Daphnia pulex: one gene and its partners. The main gene of each other region encodes a partner of the protein of the gene in region 2 in a complex. Links are inferred from orthologs where the notes say so. Each region holds a gene or a part of one and is shown on either strand. Other genes may lie near its edges.

What was found. The genes of interacting proteins can lie anywhere in the genome.
Region 1: nuclear pore complex protein Nup98-Nup96-like (region 2) and nuclear pore complex protein Nup54-like share a complex: the UniProt entries of both Drosophila melanogaster proteins name them as parts of the nuclear pore complex. The link is inferred for Daphnia pulex from reciprocal best matches to the Drosophila melanogaster genes Nup98-96 and Nup54.
Region 3: nuclear pore complex protein Nup98-Nup96-like (region 2) and nuclear pore complex protein Nup160-like share a complex: the UniProt entries of both Drosophila melanogaster proteins name them as parts of the nuclear pore complex. The link is inferred for Daphnia pulex from reciprocal best matches to the Drosophila melanogaster genes Nup98-96 and Nup160.

The regions. Positions count from the first base shown.
Region 1 is NC_060022.1:6,652,163-6,658,262, forward strand, and holds nuclear pore complex protein Nup54-like, read right to left. Parts: upstream 3,278-6,100; 5' UTR 3,107-3,277; coding exon 3,049-3,106; intron 2,741-3,048; coding exon 2,309-2,740; intron 2,251-2,308; coding exon 1,978-2,250; intron 1,900-1,977; coding exon 1,749-1,899; intron 1,689-1,748; coding exon 1,256-1,688; intron 1,186-1,255; coding exon 922-1,185; intron 855-921; coding exon 738-854; intron 665-737; coding exon 566-664; 3' UTR 167-565; downstream 1-166. Other genes in the region: toll-like receptor Tollo, read left to right, coding at 1-166. UniProt on the Drosophila melanogaster protein: Component of the nuclear pore complex (NPC), a complex required for the trafficking across the nuclear envelope. Essential for the nuclear import of nuclear localization signal (NLS)-containing proteins in an importin alpha/importin beta-dependent manner.
Region 2 is NC_060021.1:8,258,953-8,265,052, forward strand, and holds the start of nuclear pore complex protein Nup98-Nup96-like, read left to right. Parts: upstream 1-2,017; 5' UTR 2,018-2,174; exon of another isoform or gene 2,175-2,187; intron 2,188-2,278; 5' UTR 2,279-2,319; coding exon 2,320-2,371; intron 2,372-2,509; coding exon 2,510-2,752; intron 2,753-2,862; coding exon 2,863-3,257; intron 3,258-3,322; coding exon 3,323-3,566; intron 3,567-3,620; coding exon 3,621-3,916; intron 3,917-3,999; coding exon 4,000-4,216; intron 4,217-4,289; coding exon 4,290-4,718; intron 4,719-4,784; coding exon 4,785-5,558; intron 5,559-5,622; coding exon 5,623-6,009; intron 6,010-6,077; coding exon 6,078-6,100. Other genes in the region: condensin-2 complex subunit H2-like, read right to left, coding at 8-210, 272-384, 481-722, 783-1,174, 1,244-1,566. UniProt on the Drosophila melanogaster protein: Part of the nuclear pore complex (NPC). Required for MAD import as part of the Nup107-160 complex and required for nuclear export of Moe probably via its association with Rae1. Plays a role in nuclear mRNA export.
Region 3 is NC_060017.1:6,358,958-6,365,057, forward strand, and holds the start of nuclear pore complex protein Nup160-like, read right to left. Parts: upstream 3,876-6,100; 5' UTR 3,753-3,875; coding exon 3,641-3,752; intron 3,536-3,640; coding exon 3,424-3,535; intron 3,352-3,423; coding exon 1,842-3,351; intron 1,784-1,841; coding exon 1,437-1,783; intron 1,378-1,436; coding exon 1,124-1,377; intron 1,055-1,123; coding exon 802-1,054; intron 735-801; coding exon 377-734; intron 315-376; coding exon 45-314; intron 1-44. Other genes in the region: glycogen debranching enzyme-like, read right to left, coding at 4,271-4,330, 4,403-4,825, 4,896-5,471, 5,552-5,880, 5,949-6,100. UniProt on the Drosophila melanogaster protein: Functions as a component of the nuclear pore complex (NPC). Involved in poly(A)+ RNA transport. Required for nuclear import of Mad. May play a role in double strand break DNA repair. Essential for nephrocyte development.

The sequences.
Region 1 (6,100 bases), on a different chromosome or scaffold from region 2:
CATATATATAGTTTTGGGTGTCCTATTAATCCTTTTTATTGTGCTGGTTGTTTTGGCTTTTTATTTTTTTAAAAAGCGTAAAAGTCAAACTGTTAAAGTTCCTGACTGTAGTACCACGACTAAACAAAGTTTTGACAACCCACAATCCATTCAAAGTGAAGTGTAGGGGACACGACCGTGAACTAAACCATCGAAATTGCCTATCTCGTAAATTTCCATTTCGAGAAATAATTAGTATACTATCGGACAGCAATATTTTGTCACGATTATTTGCTGTTTACGTAAAAGTTTAACTTCTTTGTATTGTAATCGCGGTTTGTATTACCCAATGTGTAATGTAATGAACTATTGATTGTAACACGCTATATTATCTAATAAACGAGTACGAGTACGAGAAATTGGCTAATATTCTTACGAAAGTAAAAAATCAAATACGATCTACTAATTTTCAATTATGATATGAATCTAAAGATTTTTTTTTAATGAAATTTTTTTTCCGTGTATTAGACCCTTGAAAACAGTAAAATTCGTACTTAGTTGATGAAGAATATTTTCGGTCGCTATTTTAGTGTTTCAAAGCATTATCTAAAACAAGCAAATCATTAAAATCTTCTTTCAATACATTCATTAACTGAGCCATTCCTTCTTGCTGTGACTTAAGGACCTATAGGAACGAGATCATTCAAAATGAGACAAAGCTAACAAATTAACTTTAAAAATTGTGACAACTTCCTTACTTGTTTCAGATCATCCAAAACATTTGGTTCAATGTTGTACCTCTCAGTCATTCGTTCCGCTGGCGTAAAGGCAGATTGGCGCATTCTTATTTGCGAAAGCAATTCGTTTAAGCGACCCTGATGTTGACAGTGTAAAACATTATTCTATAAACTTAACATTTAATTAGAAAAATATATATGTTACTCGAAATTGCGTAGGGATGCTTAGTTCATTGTGCACAGACTCTAGCTGCACCCGCAAACGTTCCTCTTCTGGCTGTAGAGCAAAACCTTCTTTCCGAGAACATTCTTGCTTTATAAGAACTTTGAGGATTCGATGTTGCAAGTCGATGTATCGTCGTCGCTGTTCACTTAGCGCAACCGATGTTTCTGATGCACGAGATTGCAGGCTTGCTAATTCCTCAGCTAACTTGTCCAGGGTTCCTTGGTGTCGTCGAGTCTCTTTCTCCTGCAATGATTTATTTTTTTCAACTCAACTATTTGCGTAGTGTGAATAAGTTAAATATAGAAATGCGAACCTGTAGGTGTAAATGACGAACAAGGTCACCAAATCCGATCAGTGGTATGGGTATGAAGTTATCGTGATCAGGATTTTCTGATTGAGCTTGTTTCCAAATGCGAGCGTCAATCCCAGCTGGAGGCGATGCTAGATATTCGCGCAATTGTTCGGGTGATGGTCGGACTCTAGGAACACACGAAACGACTCCAAGTGCGCTGAGCTGACCACGAGCCGACTGCATCATCCCAGATGGTTGTTGATTCCAAAGGAAGTTAGACAATTCAATGGCAGGCACTTTATGAATTGCGCCAGTTGCTGAGCGTTCTTGAACACAAATCAAAACCTCTGTCTTATTTGTGTCTAGGCCAGACACGCCCTCGACGGACACATTCAGATTGGGTTTATTGCCCAGCGCCGTAGTTATCACACTGACTAACTGAGCTTGGTCTCGCCTGCAAATTGAATCCATAAATAAATCTATATGCAATTACGGTTTTTATAATTTTATCTACCGAATATCTGTTTCGGGTTTGTTAAACAGCAAAACAATTATTCCATCTTCATTCTTTCCTTGTGGTAGTTTGCTGTAGCCAATGGCTTTAAAGCGACACAATGAATTCTCTGCAGTATATTGGATAGCACTAGCCGTGCCAGAGTAAAATCCTAGACACCAATAACAATGTGAGTAAAATGAAGACATTCTAATATTTAAATTGAACCGCAATTAAGGTGGAGTCAAACCTTTTCCGGTTCCCCAAGCTGCTTGAAGGAGATTCCAACGAGCCAAGATTGCATCGCGCTCATCACCGTAAATGTTACAGTAAAGTACGGATGAGAGAACAGATTCGACAACAGTACCGGCTTGCTGAGCAGGAGCAAACGTTTGTTGTTGTTGTTGACCAAACAGGCCTGTTGTTGGGGCTGTACTTCCAAATGTAGTTCCCAAAGAAAAGCTACTAGAAGCTGGTGTTGTTATCCCGGTTCCTCCCAGAGATGTTCCAAAAGATCCAAATCCTAATACAGAAAAGTAGTCAAATAATTCGTTCCAAGTCATTCCATAAAAAAATATTACCTGTTCCAGAAAAAAGTCCGGACGACGATGAGACAGCAGGGGCTCCAGTGCCAAAACCGAATCCAGCGTTGCTTGTCTGTGGCTGCCCAAAGCTGAATGATGGAGCTCCACCAGTATTAGTTCCACCGAATCCGAAAGCAGGTGTAGTGGTATTTGTTTGTGTTGCACCAAATCCAAACGATGGAGCAGCTGTGCTAGTTTGGGTGGTACCAAATCCAAACGCTGGAGCACCTGAAGTAGGTTGGGTACTGCCAAAACCAAAAGAAGGTACTGTTGCAGTGGTGTTAGTTTGTTGAGAGCCAAATCCTGATGTTGAAGCAGAATTTTGAGGAGTTCCAAATGAAAAGGACTGATTTGCTGTGCTAACTTGCTGCACACCAAAGCCTCCAAATGGAGTAGTACCAGTCTGACCAGTACCTCCAAACAGCCCTCCTAGAAGTGAAAATGAGTCAAATGCATTGCAACACATAAGTTTAATTCTATAAAATTTTATTTGTTATCTCCTATTTCTATGATAAAATAATGAACAATTCTCAATCAGTGTTGTGCTTGAACAAAAATGATTGCAGCATTTGGTTGGACTAGAAAATGTAATCTCAAGAAAAACTAATAAACAGAAAATAAATGAAAAAGCCATGCATTGTAGCATGTTCAACAACGAAGGCAAAATGATTTCACTTAGATAATTATCATTCAAATATATAGTAATGCTGGAGTTGACACTAGTTTGTGTGTATTACCTGTGTTGGATGTAGTAGACTGGGCTGGTTGGAAAAGACTTCCACTAGAAAATGCCATTTCAAGAATAAGTTATCCTTACTTTCTTGTATAAATCTTATTTGGTATCTGTCTAATTGGTAAAAAAGTCGACAAGCCGATTTTCAATGATATCGTTAGCGTTCACGTTCAAAACTTGAAACTACATTTTTTCTGTGGAAGTAGCGAGAAGAAAGGAGGTATATGCCATCTAGCGGTTAACGATGAAGAACCAATCCTTTAACTTTGGCGGAAGACAGAAAAGCGAAAGTCCACCGCAAATATTTCTATTCCGTTCAACCGAAGAAATTTAAATCAACCTCGTCATTCCCGAAGGTCGTCCATTCTCTCCCCTTTTACACGCAAAAAATTAACACAAGAAATTGATCAGAAAACAAGTTTATTAATGATGATTTAACCAAGACAATTTGCATTACATTCCAATCAATTATTCCAATTTAAGAATGAGTGACGGTTGACAAACGAAATTAAACTGGACGGCAGGTCGTCGAATGGGATTCCATGACGGCTCACGACTTGGGCAGCTAAACATGTGAGGGGCCGCACTTTATGAATCAGTCTTTGAAGGGGGCCGTTCACATATGACGTCACGGGCCGAGGGGGGGGAGGGGGGTGCACCTTGTATGACGAATTGTGACGAGGGGGGGTAGGGGGGGTATTCACAGTGGGACGTCACAAGGCACTACACAAGCGCCACCAAGTGGGATATGTTGGCAACTTCCTAAATTTCTTTTAGTTTTTTGGATCGTTAGAGCAAAGCACCTCGTTTGCTTGACCAATTAAGAAAATAATGAACAACATTGTGTTCTGTATTAAAAACTACAGAAAATACAGAAAATAAAGAATTTTTAGGGGCTCAAACAATTTTTAAAAAGGGAGGGGGGTATCTGACTTTGTGACGTCATATTAGAGGGGGGGTATACCTACTGTGATGAATTGTGACAAAGGGGGGAGGGGGGGGGGTGTAAAATCGTCAAAAAGTCCGTGACGTCATATGTGAACGGCCCCAAGGTAAACATTTGAGATCCCGTTTTCAGCCAGTTCTTTTTCCTTTAGTTTAAAGAGGTCCAAAGGTGTTATGCCCACATCATCGGGCTGGTCGATATGAGCATCCGAGTCCAACAACTGTAACTGGATGGCGTCTATGGTGTTGATCGACCAGCGCTCCCATTCAATACTGGCCAGCACGTGAAGGGCCGTCATTCCGTTGGACGAGGTGGCACTTGGGTCGACTCCGAGTTCCAGTAACAATTTCATGACGTTTAGGGGAAAGAGTTTCGTTATAATTGTGTAGGAGCAGCAGGCAAGATGGAGGAGATTGCCCTTTTCGACTATTTTAAATCTGTAGTCGTCTCCAATGAAATTGTAGAGAGTCCGCTTGAATCGGTGAAGTTCTTGTTCATTCAGTGTTGGAAGGAGTTCAGTCAAAATGTCGATCTGGTCGATAATCAACCATTCGACTCCACCAGTCCATTCGTTTCCGATATAGTAGTCCAGCTTCACATGATGTTCCAAGGAATATTCCATTACGGTCATAATATTGGCGAAGGTGAACTCTTCTCTGTCGGAGCTCGGCAGGTCCATGAGCTCGATGAAACTTCCAACCATGATTTTAATTACTTTGGTGATCATACTGTTGACAAATGGATCGTCCCATTCTTTTTCGAGTCCTTGGAACTGACCCATCATGTACATGCCGATGCTGATGGCTCGATTGAACTGCCTTTCATGGTGGAATGCACCGGCGTATTCGCACATGTGGGCGAGGATATATTTATGTTGCTCAGGATCGGATTGATGCAGCATCCTCTGACTGACTAACAAGGCCTGAGTGTCGAGATTCATTTCAGGGACGACAAAGTTAAGCTGTGCTTCCAGTTGGTCGAGGTGTTCCAGAGTCGTGAATTCGGAAGTGAAGCCCATCGCCTTGGCAAAAAGATACGAGGACTGAGGGGGAATTACTTTGGGGATCACCGGTTCTCCATCGACGGTCGAATGACGAAGTCTCATGGCTTCTTTCCAGATGAAAATGGCGTACTTCGAGGAATCCCTGTTGTAGAAAACGTAGGCGGCTCCCATCAATTCCAGCACTTCGATTTTATCCTCTCGACTGATCGAACTCGACTTGATTCCCTCCATGTCGGCGATGACCTTATCCAACTGTCCGTGTTGGATGGTGATAAACTGAGATATTATGCCCAGCTGGCGACTTATGATGGCTGCGCACAAAGGTGAGACATTGCAATACTTTGTTCCATTCCACTCAAATGTCCCGTGACATCCCGTAACATCGACTCCGAAATTGGCTATCAGAAATGCGACGACTTTATAACACTCGTGCCGAATTGCGGTCATCATCATGGGGGAAGTTCCATGCTCGTCGACTGACGTGGCTAGTACTTTTGTGATTTCTGGTCCTTGAGTGGCAAGTATTTCCTCCAATTCAGTTATCGATTCCGATATCACTGCTGCAAGAAAGATGAATTGCAAAACTCTCCAATCATCATCTGATGTGTCCATTTTGATTTTCAAGTAGGTTTCGAACTAGTTCGAAAAAGTTCTGTTGAAACATTTGTAAAGGTTTAATACTTTCACAAATATTTAGGAACTCTACACTTCTAATAATTAAAAGTGAAATGCCAGTAGGCGATTTCCCACATGTAGAATAGTGTATTATTGGTTTTTAAGGAAGTGTGAACATACCCAAATGACAACGGAAGAAGAGCAATCAACAGCAACTCGTTTCTTGAATGAGACTACAACAACAAATGGCACAACTAACTGATGACAGGTGCGGAAATATAATAATACTTGGGTCACGTACTTTGAATCGTATATCCTTTATACGTGACATTAAACGTTCATAAAGGCACGTTTAGGACACCCACAACGCTCACAAATATGAGTCAGAATGACATCATTAATCAATTAACAATTGGGTGCAACGTGATCCGTTACATCACTCCCGGCCCCGTTGAATTACGCCCCGTAATTCCATGTCGGAAGCAGGTTGCG
Region 2 (6,100 bases):
TACTGACTTTCAGGCCGAAGTTTTTGTTGTTTTTTAATGACGGTCCCAGTTGTTTTCGTAAAGTGTACGTAATCTTCCCAGAATTCGGTATCAGGCTGGGAATATTTTAAGGCAGGCTTTTTAACGATTTGACTTTTCCCTAGAAATTCGTCTATTTCAACGCAAATTTCTTCATTTATGGGAACCTTCCCCACCCCTTTCCGTTTTCTCCTGTAAGCGATTGTTTGATAAATGACGTAATAAAGCAGTTTGACCGAAAATCGGAACTTACAAGGCAACAGGCATCTTGCATCGAACCGGAGCTCCACAAGGTTTCTTTAAAGCGTCACTTTCGGAATAGGGATCCATACCACCCCAAGGATCTTTTTCTTTTACTTGATTCTCCTGTAAAAAGATGATCAATAATGTAATAAAAAATTTATCTAAAAAAATATTACACATTCGTTCTAATAAAAAAAAAAAAACAGAATTAATGAGTACCACAGAAATTGGAGCCGGAGCTCTCTGGCGTAGTTGCATTCTCTCAACAACTTCTTCGGTTAAACCGTTGGAGTTCCCGTTTTCTTCGAGGTCATCTGGAATGATTTCGTTTTCTGAGGCCATTTCTCCGTCATTTTGCCAATCATCCAAGTTAGGAGGTTCGACTTCTAGATCATCTTGGTGCATAGACGTTATAGGAACTGGTTCGGTTGGCACCAAATCTGCGACGGAATGTTCAGCTTCTTCGTTAAAAATAAAATAAATTAATAAACGGAAAAAAATATCCACATTTTTCATTTTACCTTGGTTTTCGTTAAGGACATCTCTCTCGGGATGTACTTTAAATCCGTTTGCGTGATGGATTTGCAAAAACAAAGTGTAAGGGTCAAAGGGGAAATTAGATCTTAGATCAGAGGGGTAACCCAAATGCTCGTTTGAAAGTGTGTAGAGTTTAATTTTAACAGAATTTAAGCTTCCTATAACTTCTTCTAGTTGCAAGATTTCATACGGTAAAGTTTGGATCTTTTTTGTGTCTTTGGCTGTAGCTTTTCTCTTTAATTTTGAGCCAAACTTTCTAAACTTCAGTGGAATTGGTTCTGTGATAAGATCTACATCTCCTTTGTGATGTTTTTTTCGGTGATTTCTTCTTATCTTGGAGCCAGGTGTTTGATTTTCATCATTTTCATTACCATTCCTATAGAGAGTAGAGAGAAATGTGTTTTATTAGAAAGTAAAACATTGTACAGTACATGATTTTAGTTACCCATTCGAACTTAAAAACTCAATCACTTCTTGGAGAAGAAGCCAGAGCTGCTCAACTTTCTTGCTATAGATTTGTGCACTATTCTGTACAACCATAGCAGCCTTAGCAAAATCTAGCTTCATTTGCTCCCCGTTTACATTAACTTCAATCCGCAAATCTTGAATATACTGGACATATTCCTCCAATTTATCAGCTATATTCAGCTCCCAACATCCTTGTTTAGTAAGCTCTCGAATTGGCTTAAGAAGAGCAGCAAATTGAGAACTGAAAACATCATCTTCTTCAACAGAACTCCCACTCGAATTCGCAAGACCAGGGCCCATTGTTTAACACGACTGCGAAACTTATTACAACAAAAAATATCTCGAATCTTTAACTATTTCAGAAAAAGAAGAACATTTTTCATATTGAAAAATAAACTGTCAGCCACTTTGCCTGAACAAACAAGAAAACACAACAATTCAAAAATTGAATTTTGGAGTAAACGTAAGTGTTGCGTTTAGTTCTGAAGTACAAGGCCCACTATGCAACTAAATCAAGGGTCAAACTTTGGTGGCCATGTACGTAGCGCCACCTATAATGACTCTCAGTGTTTAGATTTTTGCGAAAACTAACCAAAACTCTTTAATTTTGCAACAATCAAATTCTAATTAAAATATTTTACACCTCTTAAATTTCGTGTCATCATAGTGTAAACATATTGAATTGCTAAATGCAAGTTAATGAATACTAACCGCTGGAAGACGCAGTCAAACGGCCTTCTTTCTATTCTCATTCTTGTGCGCCGCAACTGCTTTTTGCCTTTCGTAATTCGTATGAGCACCGTCTTGCCTTTTCAACGTTTCATTGAATTGTCAGCAAGTTCATACGACTCCCGCGTGCTGAGATTACTGTTGTGTTCTAAAAACTTGTGTGACGACCGCTAGCCATTGTAAGTTCAAATTGTGAGTTCTCCGAGATTAAGACTTCTGTGGTGTTGCATTTCGTACTCCATAAATATTGGGAGACATTTTTGACATTTTCTTTTTTACTTAGCTGCGGAGTGTGCCGGCTTCTTCAATGATACATCTTTAAAAATGTTTGGACAAAATAGACCCACTTTTGGAGCCCCAACATCAAATACTTTTGGTAATGCATCCAGACAATTATTATTCTTTACCATTGCATAAGCATATTTCATGTTTACAAATGTATCTTATCTTGTCATTACGTCACCATTTAAATTTCAACATTTTTTGTTTGCCCTCCATTGTTTGTTGCATTTAGGCGGTTTCGGTACAAATACATCAACAGGATTTGGGCAGTCTTCGTTTGGGGCAAAGCCAACTGGAACGGCTGCACCAACTTTCCAATCTACAGGTTTTGGATCAAATACCTCGATGTTTGGAAGCACAGGTACTACAACAAGCCAACCCTCGGGAGGTTTGTTTGGTACACCTACTGCCACTTTTGGAGCAGCACAACCTACAGCAGGATTTGGAGCACCTGCAACTAATACTGGCTTTGGAGGTATTTTATGTTTTATAGTTACATTTCATCAAACAGTAGATATCTTTGATGAACTTCATTAATTTGCAATCAAAGAGCACTTAATCATGTTGTTGGTTTTGTAACAAAAGGATTTGGTGGTGGGACTTCAGGGGGGAGCTTATTTGGAGCCCCTGCTGCTTCAACTGGTATGTTTGGATCTAATACCCAACAAACTGCCCCTTCAACTGGTACAACTGGCATGTTTGGAGCAGCCACCAATACAGGATTTGGAGCTCAAGCTAAACCTACATTTGGCTTTGGAGCAACTAGTACCTCCAGTAGCTTGTTTGGACAACCCCAATCCCAGCCCACTCAAACCACCTCACTTTTTGGACAGCCCACAGCACAAGCAACGCCGTCAACGGGTACTGGTTTGTTTGGGACATCATCTTTTGGTAACACAATTGGGGGATTTGGTGGTACTGGTGGAGCCATTACTGGTACCCCAGTAAAATTCAGTCCTCTAACAGGGACAGACTCTATGGTATAATATTTATTCATACACATATTTTTCTCTATGAATTATAATTTTCATTTTGTGGTCTTTAGATGAAAAACAATGTCCAAACGACAATAAACACACACCATCAGTGTATAACATGCATGAAAGAATATGACAATAAATCTTTGGAAGAACTTAGATTTGAAGACTACTCTGTAGGACGGAAAGGACCGACCCCGGGAACCGCACCACAAACTGGAGGATTATTTGGTGGGACCACTACGACTACCCAATCAACTCCGTTATTTGGACAAACTCAACAGACGCCCCTTTTCGGAACACCAGCACCCAGTAAGTATTTTTCTTGTGTATGATGAACAAAAGAGATAATTCGTATGTATTTAGCTATGGGACAGCCGAGCTTATTTGGACAGCCTCAACAGCAACAAGCTCAACCTTCGGCCTTTGGAGCAAAACCCATGGGGTTTGGTCAACCTGCTACTTCCACTCAATCATCATTTGGTTTCGGGACGCCTGCACCTCAACAGCAACAACAGCAGCAACCCAGTCTCTTCGGTCAGCAACAACAAAATAAACCTTTTGGCTCATCGATTTTCGGTCCCCAATCTACGAGCCAACCCACTCCTGCTTTCGGGACACAAACACCCGCTCCCGCATTTGGATTTGGTGCCCCACAACAGGTAATGATAATATTTTTATTTATTCCTTTTTATTTGAGATTGTTTCCTACTTATCGTTTTCTTTTTATTTCTGATTATTGCAGACCAGTCAAAGCTTTTTCAACACTCCAAAGCCAGCAATGGGAGTTCAGACTTCAACAGCAGGTTTTGGTTTTCCTCAAACGACAACCACTCAGTCCGCTGGATCCAACATCTTCGGTGCGAAACCAATAACTGGTTTTGGAGCGACACCTACCCCTGCATTTGGAACTACTCCCGCTCAAACAACGACGCCAGCGTTCGGTGGATTTGGTACATCAGGTTAGATCAGGAAATTGTTTTTGTTGTTTGTTTGTGTTTGCACCAAAAAAAATTTCGACTGTATTTTTTATAGGTACTACTGGAACTGGGTTGTTCACACCTGGACAAACGGCTTTTGGAGTCAAACCAGCCGGGCAAACATTTGGTGCGGTGACATCAACTCCGTCGACTCTAGGATTCGGTCAAAATACAATGTTCGGCGGGGCATCGGCTGCAAATGCAAAGCCCAGTCCATTTGGCGGTACTCCCTTTGGAAGTTCTGGCTTTGGCACTACACCTAGCTTTGGAACAGCTACTGGTGGGATGGGTACTGGCGCTCCCGGTTCACTCTTTGGGAACACAAGTATTGGAGCACCCTCAACTTCAATGTCTTTCGGAACGACGCAGCCTACTACTGGAACTAGCAGTTCCCAGTTGCCTATTCATCAGTATATCTTGACGCTAAGTGAGATTTCTCAGTCTAGTGATCATCCTCTCTTCCGGAAAATGCTGGAACCGTCAGGTAAGCCACTTCGAATGAACACAGTTGAACGCATTTCATTCATTAATTGTTTCATTGCGTTTTCAGGAAAAACAGAAGAATTGATCAAATCAAGCGCCCGTACCAGTTTGTCCAACGGGGCTGCACCAACTCCTCCTCAATACCGTATCTCACCCCTTCCCTCGAATAAAATCCGCACGAAAGCTTTGCTTAACGGATCCTCGACTGGTGGTGGAAGACGTTCGATTTTTGAAGGATTGAGCGACGAAGAAGAAGGTGAGGAGAACGGAGCTGGATCGGAAGCGAAAACAGATTTCTTCGTACCTCGACGAAGTGTCAAGAAACTTCAACTGAAAGCCATTTCCCTCGACACTACCGTCGATACTGATAATAAGCCGGACGATGATGCTGAACCCATCAAATCAGCACCGTTAATCACACCTTCTGAAGAAAGACCTGTTGTCCTAGACTCTCGACCAGATCTTAGAGTCCGAGAAGAACTTGATGATAGTTTGACTGTGTTGAAGATACGTAGACCAACTGTTGCGTTCCTTAACCAATCAGCGATGCTAGAACGCAGTAGTATGCTGGATGAAACTGGCCTTGGAGAAGGGGAAGTCACTGTTGCAGAGGAAATCAGTGAAACAGTCGAAGAAGAAATCGTGCCTCCTCACCCTGCTGGCATAGTTTTACGTCGTTGCGGATATTCGACAATGCCGACCATGGAAGACTTGGCAATCAAAGGATTGGATGAAAATGGGAAGTGTATTATTACTTCGTTTTCTATTATTCGTCAGGGCTATGGTCGAATATTTTTCGAAGGCCCTTTGGATGTCGCGAACTTGAATCTGGATGAAATTGGTTAGTGACCTCACAATAATTCTTTAAAAAAACGTATTGTTAACCCTCTTTTTTTGTTGTCTAGTATTGTTTCGCCACAAGGAAGTGACTGTATACCCCGATGATTCAAAGAAACCTCCTGAAGGAGAAGGACTAAATCGCAAAGCTGAAATCACTTTGGACCGCGTCTGGCCTGTAGATAAATCCACTGGAGACTACATCACCAATCCTGAGAGATTAGCTGTTTTGCGTTACGAAGAACGACTTGCCCGAGCTGCCCATCGCCTACAAGCTAAATTCATCGAGTACCGACCTGAAACAGGATCCTGGGTGTTTCGAGTGAACCATTTCTCCAAATATGGATTGGAGGATTCTGATGAAGAAAGTGAACTTCCAGCCGCTCCACCCAAAGCCGCTGCTGCTCTTCCAACTACACAAGGCCAGGCAGCTCAAACCACCGTCATTGGTGCTGGTATGTTTATCCCCTTTCCGATTTTAGTTTTGTTTATCTAACGTTTGTCGTTGTTTCCATTTTTGTAGGTATGGGATTAGGAGGATTGTCT
Region 3 (6,100 bases), on a different chromosome or scaffold from region 2:
GTAACGGTGATCCAAGGCCTAAAGTGGTTGATAGTACACATTACCTGTTCGTGCATCACAGCGGCAGCTTTGCGCATTTTACCCTGGCGGACGTGAAATGCATAGAGAAAGGAGTAATAAAGCGTCATAGATAGAACATCTGATGAGCGAGCCCTTCTCTCCACAATTTTTTCCAATTCTGATTCCAATCCGGCGTAAGGGAAAGTTAAAAGAATATCCATCTGCTTGCGTTCCAGCAAAATATTGACCAGACGTCCAAGAGTTTCAGGTCGCTGACTGCTATCCGGATTATTTACGATGGCTTCGTATGCTTCCTATTAGCAGTGAATGGATACGTAAGGGCGTGAAATCTGATAAAATGCGTTTGATTTATTACCTGATAGTGGCCCAAGTTCAAATGAAGCTTGGCAACAATCGACCATATTGTAGGCAAAAGGGGGTCGTCCGTTTTACTACTGTTTAGGGCTACAAGAGCCACACGAAGAGCAGCACTGCATAGTCCCGCCTGCTCTAACAATTGGACGCATATGAGATGAAAGCGCATCACCGGATCAGCACGACTTCCAGCGTCACCACTTTCATTCGCTCCCTTTGTGACAATCGAGTGAAGAAGTTGTTCTTTGATGATTCCTTCAGCAGCTTCAAGCATCCACTTACTGGCTTTATCTCCTTCACCGGTAGCCACAAGTGCGACAGCCATCAGAAATTTTCGAGAGCACGTATTCCATTCACACCTGGGCGGAATTTGCATTTAAAAAAATCAATAAACGCATCTAATATTGAAGTACAATATTTACAAACCAGTTCTGTTGCAGGCGGACGTATCCCTGTACGGCCAAGGGTTGGAAGCGTTCCATCAGAAATTCCATGAAAGTCATGTGATTTCCAATGGGCCAAAGCAGCTGGCCAATGGCTTTCATAAAGTGTGGGAAAACATCTAACCAAGAGGACGTCCATTCAGCAGCATCTTCTTCCTGCAGGACCATTTCTCGTACAGCTTGACCTCCATCCAAGGATAGGAAGAGTTCAACCAAGCTCTTGCACGGCAAAGTCGCTATGGAATTGTTTAATCAGTATTATTTCAATTTGGAAAAATGGGAAATTTAGATGTTTTCAAACTTACCGTAAGACTCTTGAGATTTTTTGAATCCCAACAAAGCCATTGTGCGAATATTTTGTTCGGTGAGGGAATTGGAAACCGTTTGGGCCGGGAAGTGGCATAACCAAGATAAAGCATAGTAGGCGTGAGCCAGGGGGACGCTACGAGGGAGGAACTCTGAGCGAATGGTTTCGGCATCTTCGGGACGCAGCTGAAGCTTCTTCTGTGTTAATATAAGCAACTGCTGTACAATCAGTACATCTCGACACAATTCCAACCTGCGAAAGTAACATCATTTTAATTTAAAAAGGTAATGAAACATTTTCTGAATTACTACCTTAAATCAGCCATCTGTCGGGATGATTCGGCTAATGCTCCCAATCCAAGACTTCCATTGAAAAGCAAACGAAAGGAACTTTTATTATTGAAGGAAACTTCGCCAAATTTGGGATCGCCTCCATTCATGCCGACGCTGAGCTGTTGGAGAAGAACAGACAAGGCCAGGCAAATGTCAACAGAAGACAAAGCCATTTGGACAGCGTTGAGCAAATTAATTGATTCGTTCTCCAGCAGTTCATCAGCAATATCCCTGGCAATTTGATCTGCACTTTCCAACTGAAACATTGATTGATCAAAGCGCTTTATTTGCTCCGTTGACAAACTATCGCTGACCACAAACAGAATCTGTAAAAGAACAAAATTCGTCAAAATCTATGTACACAACAAATAAAAGAAATGTTACCTCGAGCAGAGCAGTAAGGCCAGAAGTTGATTGCTGACCCCCGAAAAGCGAAGCAATTCCACTCGAAAATGGCTGCATATCCCAGCGACGGCCTCGTTGCAAAACCAAACTCTCAACCAGATCCAACGGACGCAAAAATGAAACCATTCCTCGTTTAAGTAGAGCATGGAAGCCAGTTTCGTCATCAATGAGTAAACCAACAGGAATTGGCCGCTTCAAATGATACTGAACAGCATAGGCGTAGAATTGGGCCCAGTATTTGGCCGAAAGTTGCAGATAAAGTTCTTCTGTCACATCATCTGCATCGGAAATCTGCTCTTTCAGTTCAACCTCGATAGCCATAATGATGTCTTCTTTTATATCTCCAGGTCTCCTCCTACTTGTCGATGCCGAACGATCAAAAGCTTGCAGAGCCTTACTCAAGGTTGAAATCGAGAATACGCCCGGTTTGAAAAGTGCCTGCATGTACGCTTGTTTAGGGTCAACGACGGTATCGTCGTATTCAATTTCCGAATCGACGCCAGGTTCCAACGCAACCTGTTGCCACTCTAGCAGGGTCGTTTCGGCGAATTCCAACAGATATTCACCCCGCGAAGTGCTCCATAGTGCATAAAGGTGATTTGAAGTCAGGCTGAAGTCGATTAAACGACTATGTTGTGCAGTAACGGATGACTGGAAATTGAGCTTGAGTGTAGGGCCCGTCTGTAGATCAATGAGAAGAAAAGATCTATTCTTGCCAAAGGACGAGAAGACGACCAGTTTGAAGTCGACGCCGTCAGGACACCACCGGATTCTGTGAAGAGAGCCAAGCTGCTTGACTGATTTGTCTCCGAAGAATTCAACCAAATCGAACTCCAAACGACACTCCTGGGTTGCTGCTGACCAAATTCGCAATTTCAAGCCTTTGCTGACGGCCAGCACAAGAACGTCGTCATTTGTCGGCAATAAACAAATGCTTGCCGTAGTATCTTCGTTTTCCTGTGATGAGCTTCCTCTTAACACAGTAGGCAGGTAACCAGAAAGTAAACGTGATAAATTTGAGGAAGGCTGCAAATTATATGTGGTAACTGCCGAAGGAGATTGACCCATACGAATGAGAGAAATCGACGAAGTGTTTGCCAAAGCAAACAATGCTTCTTTACTTTTTCCAGAAAAGTAAGATGCAGCAGTGCTGGGGAGTGAAAAATTGGTGGCGGTGCTGTTGATGACCTGGTGGCTCAATGATTCCCTCAACCAGGGAAGGGATGCTTCAGTAAAGATGGATGGTACAGAAATGTTGGTCCCCATTGAGTTGAATGCTGTAGGATCATTGTGTTTTTTTGGATGTGGTAGAACCAAACGATGAACTGAAGATATGGTGGAGACGAGAATAACTACATTATTTTTTGTTTCATGAATGGATGTCCCCTCTAATAATGGAAGGCCTTGAAATCTGATTCGAAGACAGTTGCCGTGTAAGTTCAAGTCTAAACTGTGTTCTACTAGCTCCAGGACATCATTGGAAATTTGCCTGTTCAAAACAAATAATACAGAATGAGTCTTACTTACAGCAGCATTTAAATTATGTAAATGATAGCTGTACCAGCATATGAAACGGTTCCGAGTGACAGTTGAATTGGAATCAGTGAAACAGTATCCTCCTGCTGTGCAACCTTCAGGTAGTTTAATATCTTGGAGTGTCAAATGAGTTCCACCTGGTTAAAACAGAATACAGGTCAGTGTTTAAGAAAAGCGACACCGTTTCGGTTGAAAAAGAAAGAACTGTAGCCGGTGTAGCTCAACAAGTTCACTTGAATTACCCGTATTCAGTAATAGTTCCTTCCATTGTTCTATGCCTGTCTGATCTGGAATTACTTCACGCAATCCGAGAAGAGAAAAGCCAGAAAGATTTCCTTTAAGACAACTAGACATGTTTTTAACTCGTTTCTACAGTTGCAATCGCGCGGGCAGCTGAGAAACAAATTCGTTTCAGACGAATCTAAATTTCCAAACCGGCAAACGGCAGAACTACATTTACCGTTCAGCGCCACCTAGCGATTGAAAACCAAACTCGTTGGTACACTAATTTTATGACAAAATTTGAGTTGAGGCAAAAAGAACGAGTATATTCACTAGCAGGCATGACGCCGTGTATTGCTACAAATTACAACACTGCTTTTGGAAAGCGGCATAATAGAATTCTCCACCAAGTGAATAACAAACATAATTAAATCGACAAAAAATGTTTTTAAAATTGTGGAAGAACAACACATGCGCTGAAGTGGGAAAACGCTAATAATATAATGTACGGGTGCGGCTGAAGGTGGGAAACATAAGTTTAAACTACTCTCTTCTTCTTTTTCCCTAGTAATAGAACTGCGTATATTTCGAATTCTGAAAAGCAACTAAGGACCCCGGGGCAACAAAAGAATTCAATCACAATTCTAAGTTCACAATGCGGTGATGCTTAGTTTCTGTTTATGTTCGATATTGTCCAGTTCATGCAAAACCTGAAAAGTGACAAAATGACCAAGTTAGTACATTAAATTCAAAAATTGTAATATTTATTTTTTTTTCATCACCTCGAGAATGGTGGCCATAGACCAGGCTTGAGCTGGACTCGAATCATTACAGACTTTGCCATTTTTATTGGTAAGCTCGGGAAGTGAGCGCCAGGGCGATTGTTGAATTTCGACAAAGTGGCGCGATAAAATAGACTTGACTTTGCGGATGGTTTTTCTGAGTTCGGAGACTCCGCCGACCAATGGAGCGAAATAAAGCATGGCTTGGAGTAGGAAACCAACTGGCCAGAGCCACTCGGGTCCTTGGTGGTAGTTGAAACCGTGAGCCGTGCTGGGATCATCTCCTTCGTCCGAATTGCAATAATCTGGTCGGTAGGACCAATCAGAATTGTCCAAAGTTGCCATGCCCAATGGTCCTAACAAGTGCTGAAGAGCCATTTGTAATGCTTGCCATGCTCTCGATGGTGTAAACATGGTCGGAGCCTTTAAACGTAAACGTAATGAAACAGTTAATGTGAGAAAGATAAAAATGATAGAAATCCGTTATTCTTACCACAGCCATGGCGACCACAAAGTTAGGTCTCAATTGATAATCAGCCCAGGGTTTGGATGCCATATAAGAATCTTTGTAGATGCCTCGACGATTGATAAGCTCAGGATGGGGTTCGGCCGTTGGTTCTGGATCGACATTAATCCAGAAATGTCGCTCAAAGTTGCGATCAATTTGACGAGCCCATTCGTCGTAAGTCCAGCGAGTCTTAGTTCCGTCTTCGTTAACCCGCTCGACGCCGGCGTACGGATAAGTTCCAGCTGTAAACAATTCCCACAAATATCCAACGACGGAGCGAGAAAGGCCAACGATCTCAACAGCAGAACCGTCACGAGGAGTTGCTGGTTCTCCCTTGTTACCGGCCTTAGCGCTTGATCCCATCTTGTCCATCCAAGTTCCGCAATTATGGGCGTTGCCACCGAAAACAAATCCAGTTTCGACGCTGACGCCGACCTTATTGTTGAAGCCTGCATCCAACATTTCGCGATCGATGGCGAATCCAGCATTACGTTCGCGGAATTCTACACCCTGGAAATGGCGTTGAAGGGCTTCTTGCATCACGTCGCACAGCGGCTGATTCTGTTGTTAATTAATTAAAAAAGAAATTATATAATTTCATGAATTGTTAATACTACTAGTGATTTAATATCAAATCATACTTTGGCTCCAGCTGGCAACGGAGGCGATTCATCATCAGGGAAGAGACGGGTAACGGCGTCGTCCAAGATCGTGTGACCCCTGGGAGCCAGACGGCAATAATCGCAAATGGATTGCAACCACCACCAAATCGCGTCACGGCAATTGAAACGAGCTTTGGAACCGCCATCCAACAGGTTTGGAATCAAACCGTGGCGGAGACAACCTCCAAATGCCAGAATGATGTAGCGTGCTTCCTGGTAACGACCAGTCAACAACAGAAGACCACGCAACGAGATGAACGTATCTCTTCCCCAATTGCGCATGTAACCGACCGAAAAGTGAGGAAGACCTGTGAAAACAAGTACAGAATTATAAAACACAGCAATTCGATCGTTTCACATTTGCACATTGCATTACCAGCGGAGATGGTGGCGCAAGCTTGTTCCTGCTGGCCATTTCTAATCCGGATGGGGGGCACAGGTGGTGCCAAAGATGGCGACAATTCGGGCAATCGAGCATTGCCCATTAGGCCGACAAATTGAACGGATCCTAAAGCCAGAGCTTTAACA